Linked DNA regions of Daphnia pulex. The main gene of each other region encodes a partner of the protein of the gene in region 3 in a complex. Links are inferred from orthologs where the notes say so. Each region holds a gene or a part of one and is shown on either strand. Other genes may lie near its edges. The genes, in order: negative elongation factor B-like, negative elongation factor A-like and negative elongation factor D-like.

The links.
Region 1: the proteins of negative elongation factor D-like (region 3) and negative elongation factor B-like are in contact, whole or in part, in a crystal structure (PDB 8JJ6), measured with the Homo sapiens proteins. The link is inferred for Daphnia pulex from reciprocal best matches to the Homo sapiens genes NELFCD and NELFB. Residues at the interface, in XP_047296144.1 of Homo sapiens: Arg63, Ile66, Met67, Glu68, Pro69, Ile71, Phe72, Leu75, Ile89, Gln90, Leu92, Ser93, Tyr96, Thr97, Ala98, Val99, Ala100, Gln101, Thr102, Val103, Asn104, Leu105, Leu106, Trp109, Leu110, Gln112, Thr113, Gly114, Val115, Gln121; in NP_056271.3 of Homo sapiens: Met49, Leu53, Leu56, Val58, Ala59, Asn60, Gly61, Leu64, Lys65, Leu68, Thr69, Leu75, Ile78, Glu79, Phe81, Gln82, Glu84, Asn85, Gly86, Val87, Leu88, Leu89, Ser91, Leu92, Ser94, Ala95, Leu96, Pro97, Phe98, Leu99.
Region 2: the proteins of negative elongation factor D-like (region 3) and negative elongation factor A-like are in contact, whole or in part, in a crystal structure (PDB 5L3X), measured with the Homo sapiens proteins. The link is inferred for Daphnia pulex from reciprocal best matches to the Homo sapiens genes NELFCD and NELFA. Residues at the interface, in XP_047296144.1 of Homo sapiens: Cys204, Gln205, Gln206, Leu207, Glu208, Phe210, Ser211, Leu214, Arg215, Leu218, Ala219, Ile221, Leu222, Asp223, Gly225, Glu226, Cys241, His242, Gly243, Glu244, His245, Thr246, Tyr247, Leu248, Phe249, Ala252, Met253, Ser255, Val256, Leu257; in NP_005654.4 of Homo sapiens: Leu23, Trp24, Ala25, Leu54, Leu58, Leu61, His62, Arg65, Pro88, Trp89, Met92, Val93, Ile96, Leu97, Phe100, Gly104, Ser105, Leu106, Leu108, Leu110, Asn116, Val117, Asp119, Ile120, Leu121, Glu123, Leu124, Arg125, Lys127, Val128.

The regions. Positions count from the first base shown.
Region 1 is NC_060017.1:4,643,479-4,649,987, forward strand, and holds negative elongation factor B-like, read left to right. Parts: upstream 1-2,504; 5' UTR 2,505-2,657; coding exon 2,658-2,939; intron 2,940-2,998; coding exon 2,999-3,038; intron 3,039-3,094; coding exon 3,095-3,243; intron 3,244-3,299; coding exon 3,300-3,360; intron 3,361-3,418; coding exon 3,419-3,540; intron 3,541-3,643; coding exon 3,644-4,138; intron 4,139-4,197; coding exon 4,198-4,348; intron 4,349-4,408; coding exon 4,409-4,488; intron 4,489-4,546; coding exon 4,547-4,648; intron 4,649-4,708; coding exon 4,709-4,927; intron 4,928-4,992; coding exon 4,993-5,115; 3' UTR 5,116-5,146; downstream 5,147-6,509. Other genes in the region: malonate--CoA ligase ACSF3, mitochondrial-like, read right to left, coding at 53-231, 304-412, 499-635, 773-918, 981-1,181, 1,245-1,698, 1,756-2,125; rab-like protein 6, read left to right, coding at 6,009-6,141, 6,201-6,307, 6,397-6,509. UniProt on the Homo sapiens protein: Essential component of the NELF complex, a complex that negatively regulates the elongation of transcription by RNA polymerase II.
Region 2 is NC_060020.1:1,899,119-1,905,639, forward strand, and holds negative elongation factor A-like, read right to left. Parts: upstream 4,261-6,521; 5' UTR 4,104-4,260; coding exon 3,891-4,103; intron 3,789-3,890; coding exon 3,602-3,788; intron 3,533-3,601; coding exon 3,447-3,532; intron 3,377-3,446; coding exon 2,980-3,376; intron 2,912-2,979; coding exon 2,412-2,911; intron 2,344-2,411; coding exon 2,244-2,343; intron 2,173-2,243; coding exon 1,955-2,172; 3' UTR 1,490-1,954; downstream 1-1,489. Other genes in the region: tyrocidine synthase 3-like, read left to right, coding at 76-276, 366-519, 597-716, 781-1,105, 1,177-1,317. UniProt on the Homo sapiens protein: Essential component of the NELF complex, a complex that negatively regulates the elongation of transcription by RNA polymerase II.
Region 3 is NC_060027.1:2,128,374-2,134,815, forward strand, and holds negative elongation factor D-like, read left to right. Parts: upstream 1-2,381; 5' UTR 2,382-2,450; coding exon 2,451-2,522; intron 2,523-2,612; coding exon 2,613-2,728; intron 2,729-2,788; coding exon 2,789-3,008; intron 3,009-3,077; coding exon 3,078-3,185; intron 3,186-3,252; coding exon 3,253-3,405; intron 3,406-3,475; coding exon 3,476-3,606; intron 3,607-3,682; coding exon 3,683-3,870; intron 3,871-3,945; coding exon 3,946-4,106; intron 4,107-4,161; coding exon 4,162-4,602; intron 4,603-4,661; coding exon 4,662-4,791; intron 4,792-4,861; coding exon 4,862-4,896; 3' UTR 4,897-5,031; downstream 5,032-6,442. Other genes in the region: 39S ribosomal protein L22, mitochondrial-like, read right to left, coding at 1,410-1,847, 1,913-2,149; RNA-binding region-containing protein 3-like, read right to left, coding at 5,032-5,212, 5,284-5,437, 5,499-6,304, 6,380-6,442. UniProt on the Homo sapiens protein: Essential component of the NELF complex, a complex that negatively regulates the elongation of transcription by RNA polymerase II.

The DNA.
Region 1 (6,509 bases), on a different chromosome or scaffold from region 3:
GGTAAAGTGGGTGGCAAATAAATGAAATTGCTGGTGAATCAACGTGTGATACCTTTTGTCCCCAAGTAACATCAGGAATTCCGAATACCGTGCAATCTGCAATTTCGGGATGACCAAGAAGATGTGTTTCGATTTCGAGAGCAGAAATTTTAAATCCGCCGGATTTAATAATGTCGGCTGATAATCGGCCAAGGATCTTGAAATAACCATTATCAAATTGAACTGAATCTCCTACAAAAACAACCGAGATGTTATTCACACGAATTGGCCCTTCAACATAAAAGCAGACAAGCAGTAACAAACCTGTTCGAAACCATCCATCCGCAGTAAAATCTTTAGCTGTGGCTTCTGGTTTGTTCCAATAACATTTAAAAACGTTTGGTCCTTTGATAAGAAGATCTCCTATGACTTTCTAACAAATAGGATTTCATGGATATTAATAATAGAAGCTTTTTTATTCAATCCAAGGCTTTTGAAAAAAACTGATTGTGTTCTTACATCATTTGCGTAGCCTTTTGAAAACTGGTCGTAGCTGGTCTCGAACAAGATTTGATAATTAGCTTTCGATCCAAGAGGAGAAGACTGAAATTCTGCTAATCTGATGCTGACACCAGGCGACGGAACTCCAACATAACCTTAATAAAGTCAAAGGGAAGTACTAACAAGGATTTATGATTGTATGGATAAATTCTAGTTTTAGTTTTAATTGGGAATGTTTATTGTTTAGGTAATAAGTGTATGAAGTGGGGTTAAGCTGAACCAAGGACCTTACCAGGGCGTCGTTCTCCCTCCAGAGGAATAGACAAAACAGAACCAATTTCCGTCATCCCATAACGTTCCACAATTTCAATTCCAGTTGCTGCTTTCCATTTGTAAAACACCGGCTCAGGAAGAGCTGCAGACCCGCTAATCATAACCCTATGAGAAGAAATTAAAACAAATTATTTGTTGTCTCCCCATTCAAATCTAACAAGAAATACCTAAAGTTGTTAGAAATACTAGCTTTCACATATTCCCTTTTCCGTTGAGTTTCCCCATAAGTGGAATCGTAATGTGAGAGTAGTTTGCTGTACATTGTAGGCACACCCATGAACAGAGTAGGCTTTTCCTCTTGACTCACGTTAGTATTTAAGAAATTTTCCCAAATTGCTTTCGAGTCGAATTTGGGCAACATAATACAACTGAAATTAAGCCGCTGAATTTAGTGTCGATAACAGTAAGTAATTTCATTTAAATTCGAATACCTGGCTCCTACATATAGGGGACACAGCAAAGCGTTTATAACACCATGAGTGTGATGAAGTGGAAGCGCATGAACGATGACGTCTTTTTTGGACCATTGCCATACTTCAATCAACATTCGTACCTGAGCATCGATGTTTTTATGACTCAGTAGAACTCCCTTGGGTTTGCCGGTGGTTCCACTAGTATACAGCATCATAGCATCAGAATTCTGATAAAATTCCATTGGCTTTGTGTCACAGAGAATGGATTTTAGTTGGGTGGGTGTAACATTTTGGTTGATGGTTTGTTGCCATGATTCTTCTAGAATTACAGATTTGGTATCCTGACCAACTGTTTCGTGGACAGCATTAAGCAATTGGGAATGACTTTGAGAAGCAATTATTAAGGCAGCATCACAGTCTTTGACATAGTAACCCAACAAAGATGGAGGATGAACCGGACTGAGTGGTACAGCTGCAATAGAAATAATCATTATTAGAGAACTTTATGTTTTGATATATGTTTTGATACCAATGTGCCCTGCCGCCCAACAGGCCCACTGAGATATAACATAGGTAGAGTCATTCGGACAGAGGAAGCCAATTCTTTCTTGATTTTTTTCTGGACCTATAGAACTTTTAATCATATTTGACAATTTAATGGCTTTAAGCAACACATCCAAATAGGTATGAGATCCATGGCTGTCTTTAATAGCAACTCGATTGAGATGTTGAAGAGCAATTCGATGTGCAGGAATGATACCACGATTTTCCATCGTGGATTGAATTCTGCCTGGAGGATCTGTATTACTGATAGAGTATGGTCTACTTCGAAGGGTTGAATTAAGTACACCGGATCTCAATGACTTTAGAAAAACAGAGAGCATCGTCATGTTATTCATCAGTCAAGTAATAAATCGTGAGATATCTTATCATCTATAAAGGTGTAATTCTGCACGTCGAGATAAAATTCGAATCTGATAAGAATATTAATAATCCTATGAAGTAACCTTGGAACTTGGAAGTCTGGATAGAGACAACTGATGTGTTTGTTTACAAAAAAAAAATACTTTATGTCGTCTGCTGTAGCTCCCGGCCTCTTTTCGCAAGTCAAAAAGACCAACAGGCTTGCACAATCGTTTGCAATCTTTTCTATAATCGTTTTAAATGTTATGTATATAAAGGGGAAAAAATCAAAACAATTACAATTGGGGTCCAACCACCCAATATTTTGTAATTAAATTATTTTCTAATTAGATGCTCCTCTATAATACTCGTGAAACGGCAACGTTGTCTAGACTGTCAACAAAAACTTGTTGTTGGAAATTTGTGTCCGGGAGTTACACTGAAAAGTGAAAACTGCGCGAAGAAACTGATTCTTCGGGATATTATAATTTGAAATACATTACGTGTGAAACGTTATTTTTTTGAATTATGAGTCGAAATCCCTCTTCCTCGGCAGTTCCAAATGCAGCTGGTCAGCCGGCTGGTGTAACACCATCAACCAGCACTCCATCTGCATCTGGTCTTGAAGTCCTTGGAATACCCGGAGGAACATTTCTCAGAGAAGCTTTGACTTCGTGTAGTGATCCTCTTCAAGCCATCGAAGAATTTCAAGTTGAAAATGGAATACTTCTACCTTCTTTAAGACCAATGATGCCACTTTTGGATTTACATGGAGTAAAGCGGCTTGATTTCCACATATCTGTCATGGAGGTTGTTTACATGAAAAGATTTAAAACACACTTAGTTTTCAATTATTTTTATGCTTTTAGGCACTTCGTGATAAGCTTTTGGCCCAAATTGCTGATTTAGGTAATGCATCTTTAATTATTTTAAAATCAGTTTTATTTTACATTAACTATCTTCAGGCCAAAAAGAAGGAAAAGAGAAAGACAAGAAATTGAAAGAATTGTTGAACAAAAGCTTTCTTGTAGTTAAAACTAAAGCTCTAAGGCCAGTTGTTATGGCAGTTATGAAACACCTTTCTCATGTTGATGAAAAATACCTCAAAGTTTTGGTAATGTAATACATTTATTATTTGAATTCAGAATTTAATGAAATGATTGATCTCAGGTGAAAGACAAAGAACTTTATGATGATTGTGATACTGTGGTTAAGAGGCAAATGTGGAAAGGTATCCTCTTAGATAACATTTCAAATACAAGTATTATAACTTTTCATTCAAATTTTAGACAACCAATCCCTTTTTGGTGATGAGGTTTCACCTTTACTCAGTCAATATATCAAGGAAAAAGAACAACTTCTCTTTGATCAAAATAATCTGACAAATTTGTTTTTCCTACCATCTCCTAAGGTAAAATGAAATGGTATTAAATGGTCTTTGTGGCGCTGCGACAAAATATATACCTTTTTTATTGGTCAAGGAGAAAAATAAAAATCTTTCTTTCGATTCCCAGGTTCGCCGCCAAGGAGAAGTGGTCCAGAAGCTAGCGCATATGATCGGAAATAACGTTCGGCTGTACGATATGGTTTTGCAGTTCTTACGAACATTATTTTTACGTACTCGTAACGTTCATTATTGTACATTGCGTGCTGAACTGCTTATGGCTCTACATGAGACGGAAGTGCAAGAAATTACAAACGTTGATCCATGTCACAAGTTCACCTGGTGCGTGGATGCTTGCATAAGGGAACGTAATGTCGACACCAAACGTTCTCGAGAGATTCAAGCGTTTCTCGACGGTATAAAAAGTGGCCAGGAACAAGTTCTTGGAGATCTGTCTATGATGCTGTGCGATCCCTATGCCGTCCATTTCTTAGCTACGTCATCGTTGAAGATTTTGCACAACCTTGTTGCATCAGAAAGTTTGCCTCGAGAACACCATATTTTACTTTTATTGTTACGGATGCTTGCGCTTGGTTTAAGCGCATGGCAGATGATCGATTCTCAGGTAGGACGAAGATTCAAAACAACCATTATTCCTTTATTAATTTCAGTAATCTTGTGCAGGAATTTCGGGAACCACGGCTTGATTCTCAAGTTGTCACGAAATTTCTTCCGGCTCTCATGTCGCTAATGGTGGATGATCAAGTCCGATCTCTAAACTCGAAATTACCCAGTGATGAACGTGAATCAGCTTTGACCATTATCGAACATTCAGGTACATGTAACCATTACTGTGAAGTTTCAAGGCACGTTTACTTAATGCTTCTAATAATAGGACCTCCACCCGATGCATTCCAAGCATACATATCTGAAAGTAGTGTACCTTGTGTTCTAGCAATGTATTACACTCTCCAGGTATTATTTATACTATATGTGAATAATGGCATTTATTACTGTCATTCCTCGGATTTAGGTGGCAAGAAGTAGAGACAAAGTGGCTTTAACTCGTGTTTTGGGCACGCTTGCTGTTGGTCACGGCGAACGATCATTCGAAGATCCTTTCCTTCACACTTTGGTAATATCCTATTTTACCTATTAGATCATTAAAGTAAATAACTTTATAATTGGAAAATAGGTTGCCCATCTGATTCCAATGCAGGATGAATTTGTCAATGAAATGTTTTGCACAGTTGTTTTTGATGAATTTTTTTTCACATCAATTGGCAAGGAGAATGTTGTCAGACATTTAACAAAACTTGTGTGGTATGTTCATCATAAGCTACCTGCTGCTAGACTTGATACCTTAATGAAAGCACTTCAACCAAATCCTCAATCCCCTGAAATCATGCATCAGGTAAAAATATTATTATATTGGCATAGAAAAAAAAGAAAATGTCCATAAATGTGCTTTGCCTTTAGGTCTATAAGCAACTGGAGCAAAGAATTGAATCATACCAGCTGAACCCATCATCTATGACTCAAGGAGTCCACAATGATGACTCTGTGTTGATGATGAATGTACCTACTCCAATGTCAATGTAGAATAAAACAGTGTATTGGTCAGGCTTACAAACAAGATTTAATGATGATTTATTGATAATAGAGCTCCAAATTCATCCCATCATGAATCTCATCTACAAGAAGAGAATAAAACTTAGTCAATATGGAGTAGCCATAAAAAAACATCAAATTCAAAAACTACTTACAGTCCTCCAGTTTGATGTGATCCTTGTAAATAGTGTACCATTTTTTTAGAACAATCTTCTCCCATCTGGTACCTGTTTGCGCAGCAATCAATTTTTTCAAATCTCCAATTGTGTCGTCAGGGTTACATTTGACTCGAACTTTCTTGCCAAGACGATCGTTGCAGGTGATCTCGATCATTTTGTATAGGTAAGACTTGTCACTTTGTCAGGCCTTATAAGTGAACAAAAGGCAGAAACTTTAGTCTGATGTCAACTAAACAAATGTAAGTCGTCTACTCTCAAGTGGACAGCAGCGCTGTACAAAACTTTTCAAATTTCAATGAAATATGAACTTGTTGGACGAACGAATTTTGACGTGAATTTTGTGCGACGAAAAGAAGCAGAAGACGACGCTATGACCAACACAGTTGCCTTCCGAATTTGTATTTAATATTTTAGAAATGAAAATAATCGTAAAATAATTTGTAAGAATGGGAATAAAAATAAAAATAAAATTCTAAATAAAAATCTATTATGGTTAGGTTAGTTTTAGTTTTCTACGTATTTTATCATTTTGTGTGTACATACACCGAGTTTACATTACATTTGACAGCTTGTCCCGACGTCGTCTTCTGCCTTCTGCTCGATGTGTTTACGATTAGTGTTATCATATAAATTTATACGTTTGTTTTTTAAAGGGGATTGGCAATCCTTTTTTTAATTTTCTAATTAAATTTTAAGCAACTAAAGATGTTTTCCGCCTTAAAAAAGTTAGCTGCAGGAAACAATAAGAATGAAGCAAATGGAAAAACTCCAGCTGGAGGACAGCAAGCAATGCATGCATCTTTACAAAAGAAATTTGCCAAAGGAGTGCATTATAATAGTAAGATAGTGAATTTTTGTTTCCGTAATGACCTTGTCCTTAATTCAGACTATTTACAGTGAAGATAATTATACGAGGTGACAGAAATGTAGGTAAATCTTGCCTATTCCACAGGCTTCAGGGAAAAGCTTTCATAGACAATTATGATCCAACTCAAGAAATACAGGCAAGTTTTTTTTTTCTTTTACAAATGGTTCCTTATTATCCATTTAAACATAAATGTTGGGGGATTTCTGAAAACCTATTTTAACATAGGTTGCCAGCATTCAGTGGAGCTACAAAGCAACAGATGACATAGTCAAAGTAGAAGTGTGGGATGTTGTTGACAAGGGCAAAAAGAAAAAACCTTTGGAAGGCTTGAAACTCAA
Region 2 (6,521 bases), on a different chromosome or scaffold from region 3:
TTGAACATCCTTATTATCGACTATTTAGTAACTGCTGTATCTAATAAACTCTCTGACGTATTTTTTGAAAAAAAGATTTGACAAGTTGTTTAACTATGTGGGACGGAAACGAGTTCAGCCGCGAAGAGAGAGCCCTATTGAAAACTGTCTATTCAATCGTTGGCTCGTCATCGGGCAAAGCCATTCAACTTTCGGACAATTTTTTCGAAATCGGGGGCAATTCACTCAACGCTGTCAATGTGGTAACCAAGCTGAAGGATCAAGGCTTTCACATAGGTAACAACTCTTAGTTACCTCGTTACGTTATACCAACAGGCTTGATTTCTTTTTCGTCACACGTTTCATATACTATTACCTCATGACAGATTTGACCGAATTCCTTGCCGCCTCCAGACTGGAAGATTTGGTTTCTCAACTGTTGCCATCGAAGGCGGCCTGCGGATCAAAGACATCGGATCATCAGTTATCCAATCACACTGTCGAAATGCTGAGCCCGTCAGTCAAGGAAGACGTCATCAGGTATTTTATTTTATTTAGTTATTTTTTATTTCGTTTATAAATAACGACATGTCGTAATGCTTGACGATATTAATCAGGATTATCAGTACAAGTTTCTCGGAGAAAGCCGAATTGGAACTTTTGACAGGCGTCAGTCGTCAGGATTACGAAGTTTTCATGGAGGAACTCTGGGAGCCATTAGTGGCAGCAGACTTGAGGTTGAAGTTCCATTTTAAAAAGACACCATCACCAATTGATTGATTGTTCTATGGGTGCGCACAGCTTTGTTATCCGGAACGGGAGCGGACAAGTAGTGGCCGTGGCCCTGAATTTCGATCTCTTTGACGAGCCTGTCGTTGAACCGAAAGTCCGGCGCTTGGCGTACGTCTTTGAATTTCTCGAGGCGATTGAGGCTCCTGTCAGAGACAAGCACTTTGAAAAGCGGACCAACTTATTGATCCACAGCTTTATGATGGCCACGGCCGAAACCTCCAGTCCATTGGAGAACATCCAACTCATCCAGAAAACGGAGCAAGAGACCCTGGAGCTGGCGATACAGAAAGGCTTTGTCGGTGTTTTCACAACCAACACCAACGAACTAACAAGAGTAACTCGACTTATCCATTTGAGGCAAAGTTTCGTCCCAAAATACCAACTCATTTTCCCTTTTCGATTTAGCAAATTTGCGACGACCTACTGGACTATACTGTATTGTTCGAGTGCCAAGTGAATCAACACATCGCTAGCGATGGGACCAAGCCTTTTGAACACGCTCCCGATACCCAATACTCGACAGTGACTGTCAAATATATACACTAAATTCTCCTTTTCTTTTTTTGTTTAAACAAACGCAAAATTATTTTAAAACAAAAACTGGAAGTCGCGTAAACCAATAGCGACCGGGACTGTTAACGATTTCAATACACATACTTCTTTTTTTTCTTAACAAAGAGTATCGCTTTTTTTATTCGCTTTGAATGATATGAACATGTTATGCATGGATCTGTGTGTATGAGAACTACAAGAAAACTGTACTTTGAAAGAAAGAAAAAAAATGAACAATTTTCAAATGCTGAGATACTGAACAGTATGCCGCCTCTAAGGCTTCAGCTTGGTTTGTGAGATGCGGGCGACACGGAGAGGATAAGGACTGAAAGTCAAGTCGAATCGATAGGAATGAAGAAAAACAGGGAAAGGAATAGTAATGTGCAAAACAGAACTGGAAAGAAGGGACAAGTTGAATCGACTTTGGCACCGAAATATATCAAAACAAAATAAATCCCGTGCCCCACAGTCGGAACAACGCGGTGGGTAGGGGATAGAGGGAAGGGCTTACTTTCTCATCCGCACTCATTTCTCCTCGCCTCTGTCTTGTAACATCCATCCTGCTGCTATTTACACAGAATTTTCAAGTCCCTCTCTCTCTCTCTCTACTGCAACCAGATTCGTTTCCTATTCAGCCCGTCGCTGTGGCCATGACGGTGGCGACCGACGCCGGAGTTTCTTCCGTTTTCCTCATTTTCTTGATGCGTTTCCATTCGCCGGCTGCATAGTTCATCTGGAAATGCGTCTCGACGACCCTGGTGGTGGTGACACCGTCGGTAGCCGTCACAACCTCCTCATCCTCGCTCAACTTGATGGTGACGATGTTTCCCAGATGTGGACAAGGATTTTCTAGAAATATCAGTAAGTAAAGAATGAACATTTCTTTTGTTTTCAAACAGCATCATTCCAATGAAAGTTACCCCGAGAGCCTGCCATGAATCCGAGGATAAGGGCTTTCTCCGGTCGTGTGACTTTGTTGGCGTTCTTGAACATTTCTTGAGCTTCTTGCATTTGCTCGCGCTATAGAAAACAAATGTTGAATTACCAAAGAATCATTCACCATGACTGCAACGACAATTAAAACTTACAGTGAGCATGAGTGCCACACTCTTTTTGGGTGGAGCGGCCGGTTGATTGGGAGTTGCTGCCGCCACTGCGACAGGCTGCCCAGCAGCAGCAGCTGGTTGAACCAACCGATAAACGGTGGGCACCGTAGTAGCAACAGCAGGTGTCGCAGCCGCCGTTTGAGCTGTGACAAGGCGTACCACTTGGGCAGGTGGGGCAGGAGAAGCTGGAGGTAGAGAACTGATTGAAGGAGTAGTAGGCGGACGGACGGCTACCATTCTAGGCGGCTCTTTCAACGGCGTAAGAGGTGGGATAGAAGTGGAGGCAAGTGGAGTGACAGGGGCGGCCGGGGTTGGAGGCGGGTTGCTCGGAAGAAGGCCAGCTGCATAGTCGGGCGTTGGAGTAGGTTTTTCGGGAGTTTCGGGGACACTGCCCGTCTCTGATTCTTCGCCCGAAAGCGGTTGTGCCGGATTTGTAGAGGTAGCCGTCGTTTCGGTGGCTGCTTTTTGGGCAGCTTCCAGTTCTTTACGGGGGGAAAAGAGGCAACAGCGTTAACAAGCAATTCGATAAATATAGCTGGATACGTATTACCTTGTTGTCGTTTTCTTTTCTTCGCCTGAGCAAATCCGATCGGCTGCTCATTGATGTCCAGCAATTTGATACCGCCATCTTTTCTGCCAGCTAACGTGCGAGGAGACGGACGGTTGGGACCAGCGGACGGAGAAGATCCTAGAGCACCGACACTTGTGGGCGTCGTCCCAACGCGCGAAAGTGGCGAAGCGAATCCTCCAATGTGCCGGCTAGGAATGCCTTTCAATGGTGTCGTGTCCGTCATCTTCCTTGGAATTCCTCGTGAGCGCAGTGGTACCGTAGGAGCAGGATTCTTTTTCAAGTTATTTTGGGCGTCGGTGGATTTCTGCAAAAGCTCGGCACGCAGCGCCGCTGACTTGGGTTTCCTCTTTAATGTGAAATGTTTGATGGGGTGGGACTGAAAGAGCAGAGTCAATCGCATATAATGTAACAGGTTCCATTTTGGCGCGAAACGAGATGAGCGTTACCTGCTGGCCGACAACAGTGAACAGTGCTGTTTTATTCAAATAGGGGCATTCTAAAGGAAGCATTCCAGTTTCTCCATGCTTTTTCACTGTAAGTTATGTTCAAAACCATTACGAAAAAGCCACGATGAAATGAATTTAGATTTTTGCCAAGTTACCAAGTTTTCTCAAATCATTTGCAAGATCGTTGAAGATTTTTCTTGTGTATTCATCGGTGGCAGAGCCAATTTCCATGTTGAGGGCTCCGGTGGCTGGGTATGTTTTGAGGATTTCAGCAACCATGGCTACCCACGGATCACCATCAACAACAGCCACTTCCAAAATTTCTTCCAACTCTGTCTTCCACTATACAAGTAATAAAAAACGATTACTTTTCAGAATCTACGAAGTGAAATGACAAACAAGATGGAGAAAAAGACGAAATCAAACTATATGAAGGCCACTGACCTCTTCTAAGTTCCTCCTTGAGAACTGGAAGAATGATAGTAGAAATTTGAGTTTGACTTGTGTTTGCAGCTCGACAAAGCATTCTTGAATGTTCTTCAAAACTTCGGGATTGAGTTGGGAACAAATTGAGCCGCCTGCCCAGGAATCAGTGCTGATACCAAGTTTATTATGAAGCCAAAGTGACGTATCTGAGTCTCTCACGTTGGACGCCATTTTCCGCCCTGTTTTTCTTTTTTCTTCCTTTGCTTTTCTCAAACACAAGGTTTCTTACAGCGAACGGAACAGTGCCCACAAACCAATTTCCCACTACTTGTTTACAACTTTTTCACTGTGAGCCAGAAAATGTCGATGCAGACAGCGTCACTGTGGCGTAGTTTCGGATGAGACCGAAACTTACTTTACCACTAACGGCCGCTAGGGGCGCTGCATGCCTGCCTCTATCTTTTTCGTTGCGCAAATTTGGGCTAGTTGCCACTGATACGATTGCTTGTTAGGCCAAACTTAAAAAAAAAAAAACGTATTTTGAACGACCGATGGAAACGGTCGCGGGAAAATCAAAGATGAAAATATCACAACGATGCCATATATTGTTATTAGTCACGTTTCTCGATGGGATGCTGTGCTGTGACTTGTGAATGGCGGTCGTAGAAAAGAAAAAAGAAAATACAAAATGGTTTTCCCCAAGCGGAATTATCTGTCGTTGAGTACAAGCGTTTGTTTGCGTTGCGATGAATGGACTTTTTCTTTTTTTTTATTTTACCAAAACCGCGTTGTTGGGAAACGTTGCTGCTGTTCAACTCGGCTGACTAGACTACAATGATTCGTTATCGAACAACCAAATAACGGACGTGAATCACTCGTCAGGAGGTCGCTTAATCGACCTAAGTAAATGATGTGCCATTTCTAAAGCTGTAAATATAGTTTCTTGTCGAAACTATTGTGTGTCGAGTGATCGAATGGTCCTAAAAGTACTCAACGCTCTACCATGTCGACCGTAATTGTATAACGAATTAGTCGGAAAACAAATTAAAAATTCCATTGTTATAATCTGATCTTTCGTTGCGCGCGATCGAGTTTCTCTTTAGAACTAACCTGCATTTTAGAATAGAAATATTTTGTTTTCTTTTAAATTTCAAACTTGACGCTGATTCCGTTTAAGACTCAGTGCAAGTATCAAACAACATGTAACGCAAACGCAACACGGATGAAGTGTATACAGTTAATCAATACAATGTCTCACTTCCAAACTCGCCAACTGATTTCAGGCGCCTTGATTCAATTAAGTACTATGTAGTACCTATCATTAAGTTCGTAACCCATAAAATCTCCCGGTGTCTCACTACTAGTTGGGTCTCGGTGCTCCGAAAGCCCGAAGTTGTGTCGGTCAATTCGCACGATTAACCCCTAATAAGGATCGTTGGTCCAATTAGGGCCCAGCAGTATTATTAGCGCAATGAAGTGCGAGCGTGTAATGCACCCAAATCCAAACCACCTTCCGTGACTTATTTCAATACTCAACTCCAATATGTGCTCTCATCTTAAATGTATGTTACACACCCATCTCCCCTTCAACGTCACATCAGTTTTCTATAAATAAAAAGCTTATTAAAAAACAAAAAAAACGTTGAAAAACAAAGTCATCTATTTCCGACGTTCTTCCTTATATCGTCTGGTTGGGTTAGGACAGTTCCGGCTACGATAGAATCTCTTAATAGGAAATTCAGTCGCTCTGATGTCCGTGTGGTTAATTAAGTGCTGAACAAAAGGAGCCCAGCATCAGATTAAATTTAAAAAAAGACCCAAAATGGAACGACTCTGCTGGCTCAGCAGTCGAGAATCTATTATGTAATAACCGTTTTGGGGGAGACAACATTTTGACATTTGAAAAGCACAAAAATCTGGCCTCAAAAAAATAAAAGGGCCATCGTTTAAATATAGTAAAATGAGCTTCCTCCTGTGACGTCGTCTTGTCCTAGTCGCGAGAAGTAGTGCTCCTAAATCTGAAATTCTTAAGTCCGCAAGGGGGTTATTAATCCGCCAGCAGCGATTTGATCTGTTAGGGAAATTGGCAGCGCGTTTCCAACAATCGCAACGAATGATTGGTTATTTGACGCTCGCCGTACATCTATCGCTTCCTGTTGTAACACACAGCAACAGCATCATCATTCTCAGCAGGCGAAATGTAATGAAATTGGTTTTATAGAGCTGTGCGTCGAGCTAGAGCCTTGAAAGTGTAGAGGCAAAATATTTCCGGGGGTTTGGGCGATGAAAAAGCTTGTTCATCCTTATTACATCCGTCTCAGATGTATAAAGTATGTACACACATTGTATCCGATGATAGCCCAAGTCTCAATGAGGATGTTACGTATAGCATCTATAATAGCGATGCGTCTACCACTTTTCAACGCATCCATCCAAAGGCAATATGGCACTGAGGCCGATTTGACGTCACGGATATAAGATTATGTCGGTGGGTGTGCACGGCCAACCTAAATCCATCGTCCAACAACTTATTGCTAGTGCAACTCCTGGATGAGGAAGAGGCGACTCGCTGCTGAGTCAAAAGGATATAGATATTGACTGGATATAAAATAACAGACGGGATATAGCAAGCTGCAAACGAAACACAAA
Region 3 (6,442 bases):
GTACGTACTAGCACACAGACGGGTTGTAGATATATTATTATAGGCTGTGCGCGCCAGAACTTGTCCCATTTCTCTCCCGACTTCCTTGTTCTCCTTCCCGTGACAAGCCCGTGTACACACAAAAGTTGATCCCCTCATAAAATTATCGAGATTATACAGCCATAATTGAATCAAATGTTGCAATCGCGATAAAATAGCTCAAACTTCACGAATCAACTGGGAAATCGAGTTGGGCGGGGACGCTTAGCATATCCTCGGTAGATCTATTCATTTCTTTTGGGTTTTTAAAATGGACTTGGAAATATTAACGTAACTAACATTTCTATCCATCCATCCGGATGGTATACTTTATTGTGATTGAATTGCCCCAAGCACGATTCTCCCCTTTACATTCTATGCCCAGTTTGACAACACGAACGCTGTCACGACTCGCCAGATGGCAATCAACGGGATTCGAGAAAGAAGACTAATGCTAACGTATATACACACACACACACCCCACCTATTTGTTTTGTTAGACTTAGATTCCCACCCTTTCGACGGCCTGAATTATATATGAGCGCCTCACGGGGGTCATAGAAAAGGGTAACACAACAACAAAACAGTACTACTAACCCCGAACTTTGTCGTCACGTCCTGTACAACTGCTGACTGGCTCCCACAAAATCGATTGCATCATCATCGTAATTATCTTATGCTTTTGAAAATGTGTGACGACGATATGCAGAGACTTGATACGATGAGTTTCTTACGTGATATTTGGCTTAAAGTAATGAGTTTGCGGATAGATTTCGCGGCATAGTATAGTCTCGCTTTTTTATTTTTATTTTACCTGATGTCAGTTTTAACAGTTGCTCCTCTGTCGTTTCTCACAGCGTGGTGTTAAACAAGAAGAAAGATTTTCACGGCTGGCGGCGCGACTCTACAGCACTACACTATTACTTTTGTAACCGAGTTGTGTTTTTTTTTTAAAGAACTTGCACAGAACGGACGAATCAATACACGCCAAAGTTGAACAAAATATATGACGGAATTTTCAGTTTTCACCGGCAGCCTGAACTAATGACGACGAAAGTAGAACGCAACTTCCGGTGCATCCATTACTGTCACGATTTCACACATTTCTTTTATAATGACGAGCGCGGCAGTGTACGATTTAGCAAAATTTTTGCAAAAATAATTTTTTAATGGAATTATTGAAATTGTTTAATAGAAAAAAGGAGTATTTTATAAAAGAAATATGAAGCATAATTTTTCACATAAAATGGTTCAAACGGATTTTTTCATCTAGAAAATCGTGCCCCGCACTTGAAACGCTAAAAGTTAAAATTTTGATAGAAACTTAACCAGAAAATGGAATTAAACATGTTTTTATTCATTCAACTATAAGAGACCAGCACTTGGGAGAACTATAATGAGAGAGGGATTCTCCTCTGCCTCATTTCATCAACCCATTCAGATAACAATGTTTTGGTTGTTTTAGGTACAGTCTCCAAGTAGAAATGTTGAGGAGGTGTTCCTTCTTCTAAGCGGACAAAGTAATGAGTGTGGAAGTAATGTATTACTCCAACTCTTCCTTTGGCATGCCTGCGAACACCCTTGTAAACAAGTCCCTTGGTAGCAAAAGATTCAGCTACCCACAAATTACTTTTAAACTCAACATTGTGTTTCTCCACAGCAAGCTTCTGGGCCTCCAACAAGGCTTCTTTTACATGGACAGCTCCTAGCTTATTCACGAAGCTAAGTTGTTTGAGAGCTTCATCAATGGACATCCCTCTTATCATTGATGCAACATACCACATCTTAAATGGGCTATACTTGATGTTGGTCCTCATGTGGCAAACATACTGCAAGATTTAAATAGTTCAACTTATTGGTTTTTGCTGAAAAAAGGAAATGCTCAATAACTTACTGCTGGTCTTCTTTCCTCTCCAGGTAACTGTGGAGGAAACATTTTCTTATTATAGATTGGCCATTTTTGGGGCCCTTTTTGCTGCTGTGCCATTGAAACATTTGTTGTGTGGAGCAAAGCTTTGCCAAAAGTTTCATTGACTAAAGATAAAGAAGTGGCATGATTAATTGCTGGTTGAAAGCTTTTGCAAATGGAAAGCAAGTTTCTGTTTTGAAATTGTCTTAACAAAAACTCCATTTTCCTGCAATAAAAATATCAATAATTAGAACAGAAATGAAAATACATTAGGATTGTTATTATTTACCTAGTTTAATATGTTCTTTTGAAGTTTTTTGTTAGACTGGACTTGTGCAAATGGATGGGAGAAAAATAATAATTCTGATTGCAGACGAATCTTTAAGCAGACGCCGCCTGACGCGCTCGTGACGCTTGTTGTTATAATTTGAACCCGTCGTTTCACATCAGGTTTATTAGATATTTAACTCGTGTGGTTTGATCGAATGAAACAGTTACTGATTCCGTAAAATTTGACTTGGAAATGGATGACGGCTACGATAATCAAGAATGGGGAGAAAGTTCGGGAATGAGAGGGGATTCCGAGATGGGAGACGTAAGTTTTACATGTTTCAGTTGTTTTCTTTACATCAGTAATACTTTACTTTAAGTGGTTTGGTTAATGAATATTTGTATTTTCGTGTAGTCTGACAATGAGGACCAGTACATGGAAAATCCTGCAGAAGTTTTAGAAGAATGCCTTCAAACGTTCAAAACACAGGACTACATCATGGAACCCGGCATTTTCAATCAACTGAAAAGGTTACTATTGTCATTTCCACTATTGACGAAAGAAGCTAGATTGATGTTTTTTTCCTACAGGTACTTTACAGTTGGTGGAAGCCCAGCCCATGTCATTGAACTACTCTCCCAGAACTACTCTGCCTCAGCACAGATGGCTAATCTAATGGCAGAATGGCTCATCTTAGCTGGGGCAACTATAAATGATGTACAGTCAATGGTAGAAAATCACTTGAAAGAAATGATCATCAAAATGTTTGATCCAAAGAAAGCTGATACTATTTTCACTGAGGAGGGAGAAGTAAGATAACACATATTTCAAACTTAAGATTTTCCTTCAGTATTTTCATTCATCCAATTATTTATTCAGACACCAGCTTGGCTTACTGAAATGATTGAACATCCCACCTGGAGATCACTGGTTTATAAACTGGCTGAGGAATATCCTGATTGCCTTATGTTGAATTTCACCATTAAGGTATTGATATCCATTTTATAATATGTATAATTTTCGTAATTGACGAATTACTTTTGTAAATTCGTAGTTGATTTCGGATGCAGGATTTCAAGGTGAAATTACGAGTATATCAACTGCAGCTCAGCAAATCGAAGTGTTTTCAAGAATTTTGAAGACTTCGGTTGGCCAGTACTCAGAAAGTAATGATGACGACAGGCAAAAACACATACAAGAATGCGCTGTAAGTAGACATGATTATTCGAATGTTGCAATATCGAAGTTGTTATTAATGCTCTGTCAAATTTTGACAGCGGATGATTTGTCATGGGCAACATACTTTCGTGTACAGTGAAGTACTGTTAAATGTTTTGTCTCAAGAACCTAAAGGAGGCCCTTCAATCAAAAGACTATCACAAGAAATTACCCGTCACGCGATTCAATCGTTAGTATTTAAATTCCACTAGGCCATTTTTTTTAGATGGAACAATAATGTCATCAAATGCTTTATCATCGGACAGGGGTCACAATGTCACTGCCATTATTATGGGTCTTAATGGGTCAGCGGCGCATCCGCGTGCCAGTCAAGCTTTATCCTCAATGCTCTCTCGCAACGCTTTGAATCCAGCCGATATCACGAATTTGTATAAACTGTATTCGGCAACCGATCCCCCACCGGTGGAGTTGATCCGTTTACCTCAGTTTATGGGTATGATATTATTCTTGTTTCGTGCGATTGTAAAGGCTAGAAGATTTTGATTTTTTAATTCACGAATTTTTGTAGAGCTGCTCCTCGATTCACTGTTTAAGCCTGGAGTGAAGCTCAATCCTGAGCACAAATCAAAATACAACTATCTCCTTGCTTACGCTGCCAGCGTGGCTGAAGTGTACAAAAAGAATCAAAGGAAAAACACGAACCGAGATGAATTAAAGGCCACCATGCAGGTATACTGTTGTTAAAAATGCCAATCGGAAAAGCTAAATAATGTTTATTTATTAGGCACTCGAGAAGGCTCATCAAGTTTGCACGACAGCAAAAGGATCAACTGAATTAATAGCTGAGCTTGGAACTCTGTATCAGTACATCCGTTTCCCTGTGGTCTCTATGGGCGTATTTCGCTGGGTAGAAGCGACTGTGTTAGAGCCCTCCTACTTTAAGTTGAGCACCGAACACACCCCTGTTCATTTGGCGCTTCTCGATGAAGTGGCCGCCGTGAATCCTTTGCTCCACTCAAATATCCTCGACTTGCTGGTACGACTTTTCGAGTCGAGACAGGATGAGTTGGAGATTCTCGTTCAACTGGAAATGCGTAAAATGTTACTTGATCGTATGGTCAATTTGTTAACGCGTGGTTACGTCGTCCCTATTGTCAAGTACATCAAACAGTGCTGGCAAAGAGGTGACACGGATATTTCACTGATTCGGTACTTCGTCACAGAGGTAAATGCCAAACACCGTACCTTTGAAGTTCCTGTAATAATTTGAATATGATTCCCAAGGTACTTGAATCGATTGCCCCACCCTACACATCCGAGTTCGTCCAACTATTCCTTCCGATGGTTGAAAATGAAGAAATTACTGGTACAATGCGTGGCGATGGTGACGGTGACCTCGTCTCTGATTTCATAGGTATTTATAACATTTTCGACGGGATTTGAATCCTTACAAGTATTCTTAATGAGGCATTCCATTTTTCTAGTGTACTGTAAGGCCAACTACGTCGTGGTTTCCTAATAAAGCGTTACCAATTGTTGGATGTTGCGACTCATAAAAACAAACAGTTTCGCTCGACGCGGATATCACTTCCAATTTGTTTTATTTTCATCCTTTCTGTGCTCATAAAAATAAATCGACTGAAATTGCTGATAATCAAGTGGTACTGCCCGTAGTGTTGGCCTGTGCTGAGCGTGCAAAGTGAACAACCAGAGGTTTGCCTTGAAGCATCACCCAGTTGGTATCGTTGAGGGCTTCCTTTGCTCGATCTACATTTGGAAGGGTGATGAATGCCTGACCCTTCATCCTACCTTCGGTCATTAGGCGAATGTCGAACCTAGATTTAAAAGATTAACTACTTAGCTACTCGTGTCAAACATCTGTTTTATGTTTTGTTTTTATTCTTACATGTTTCGTTCTTCTTCTGACGTCCACAAGACATAACGGCCATAGATGTGCTTCAGGTCGGATTCTTTTACGGTTTTAGCCAAGTTCTTCACGTAAAGTCGTGAACTAGGAGCACCAGCCGAATAATTCTTGAAGACAGGAAGAAGTTTGATCTCTGTAAGGTGCAAAGCTTTTTTTAAAATGTTCATTGTTTATTAACATGATAAATTTCTAACCCTCATCTTGAAGTTTGTTTATCTGAAGTTTTCTTCTGGAGATAAATTCGTAATCTTCTTCCTGATTTTCTAGAGCTTCACTTTGCTGTTCATTTTGGCTCGGAGGAAGCGGAGCAAATGTTCCGAAACTTTCTGTTGTTCCTTGTTGCGCTTCGGTTGACTGATCACTTTTGGCATGAAGAACTTCTGAAGATATCTTAAACTCAAGTTTCTTTGCTGAACTTATTTCTTTCTGTTCAAATATTTCTGAAATAGTTTGAACAGTTGGCAATGCAGGTTTCACTTTAGCAGGAATCACTGCTGTTGATGGGTTGATAAGCATTTTCAGCTTGTTAGGCCTTTTCAATGGTTTAAGCTTCTTATGTCTGACAGCTACATCAGGAATGACTTCTTTTTCTCCAGGTATAGAAGAATCAGTTTCCAATTCTGATTCTTCTGTATCTTCTTTGTACAACTCTTCCATTTCAACTTCTTCAATATCAGATGGTTCAACTATAACAACAGGATCTTTTGGCACTTGCAGGAAAGGTGGAGGTAAGTTAATACTCTTCATGAGTTGTAAAACTTTGTGATAAAAATCATCATTTCGTAGAAGTTCTGCTGCAATATTGTTCACTATCTGTTCATTGGCAGGAGGATACTTAACACCATTATTCTTGCCAGCTGGTTTCGGTGCTGGTAGGTTCATCTGAGGAATGTCTGGCAAGATTGTGAAGTCTGCATATTCTGCAACAATCCTCTTACCTACCACCTTCAGCTGATGCAAGCGAGTTAGTGCAAATGATGCATCCTCATGTGAATTGAACCTTTTGCATCATCAGGTTGAATGAAGAAAACAAATTATTTCTTTCACTTGAATTAGTATTTTATATCTAACTTACTTGACAATAATAGTGCTGTTCCTTTGCCTTCCCTTTGGTGTTTCTTTCCTCACAGCTTGAGCA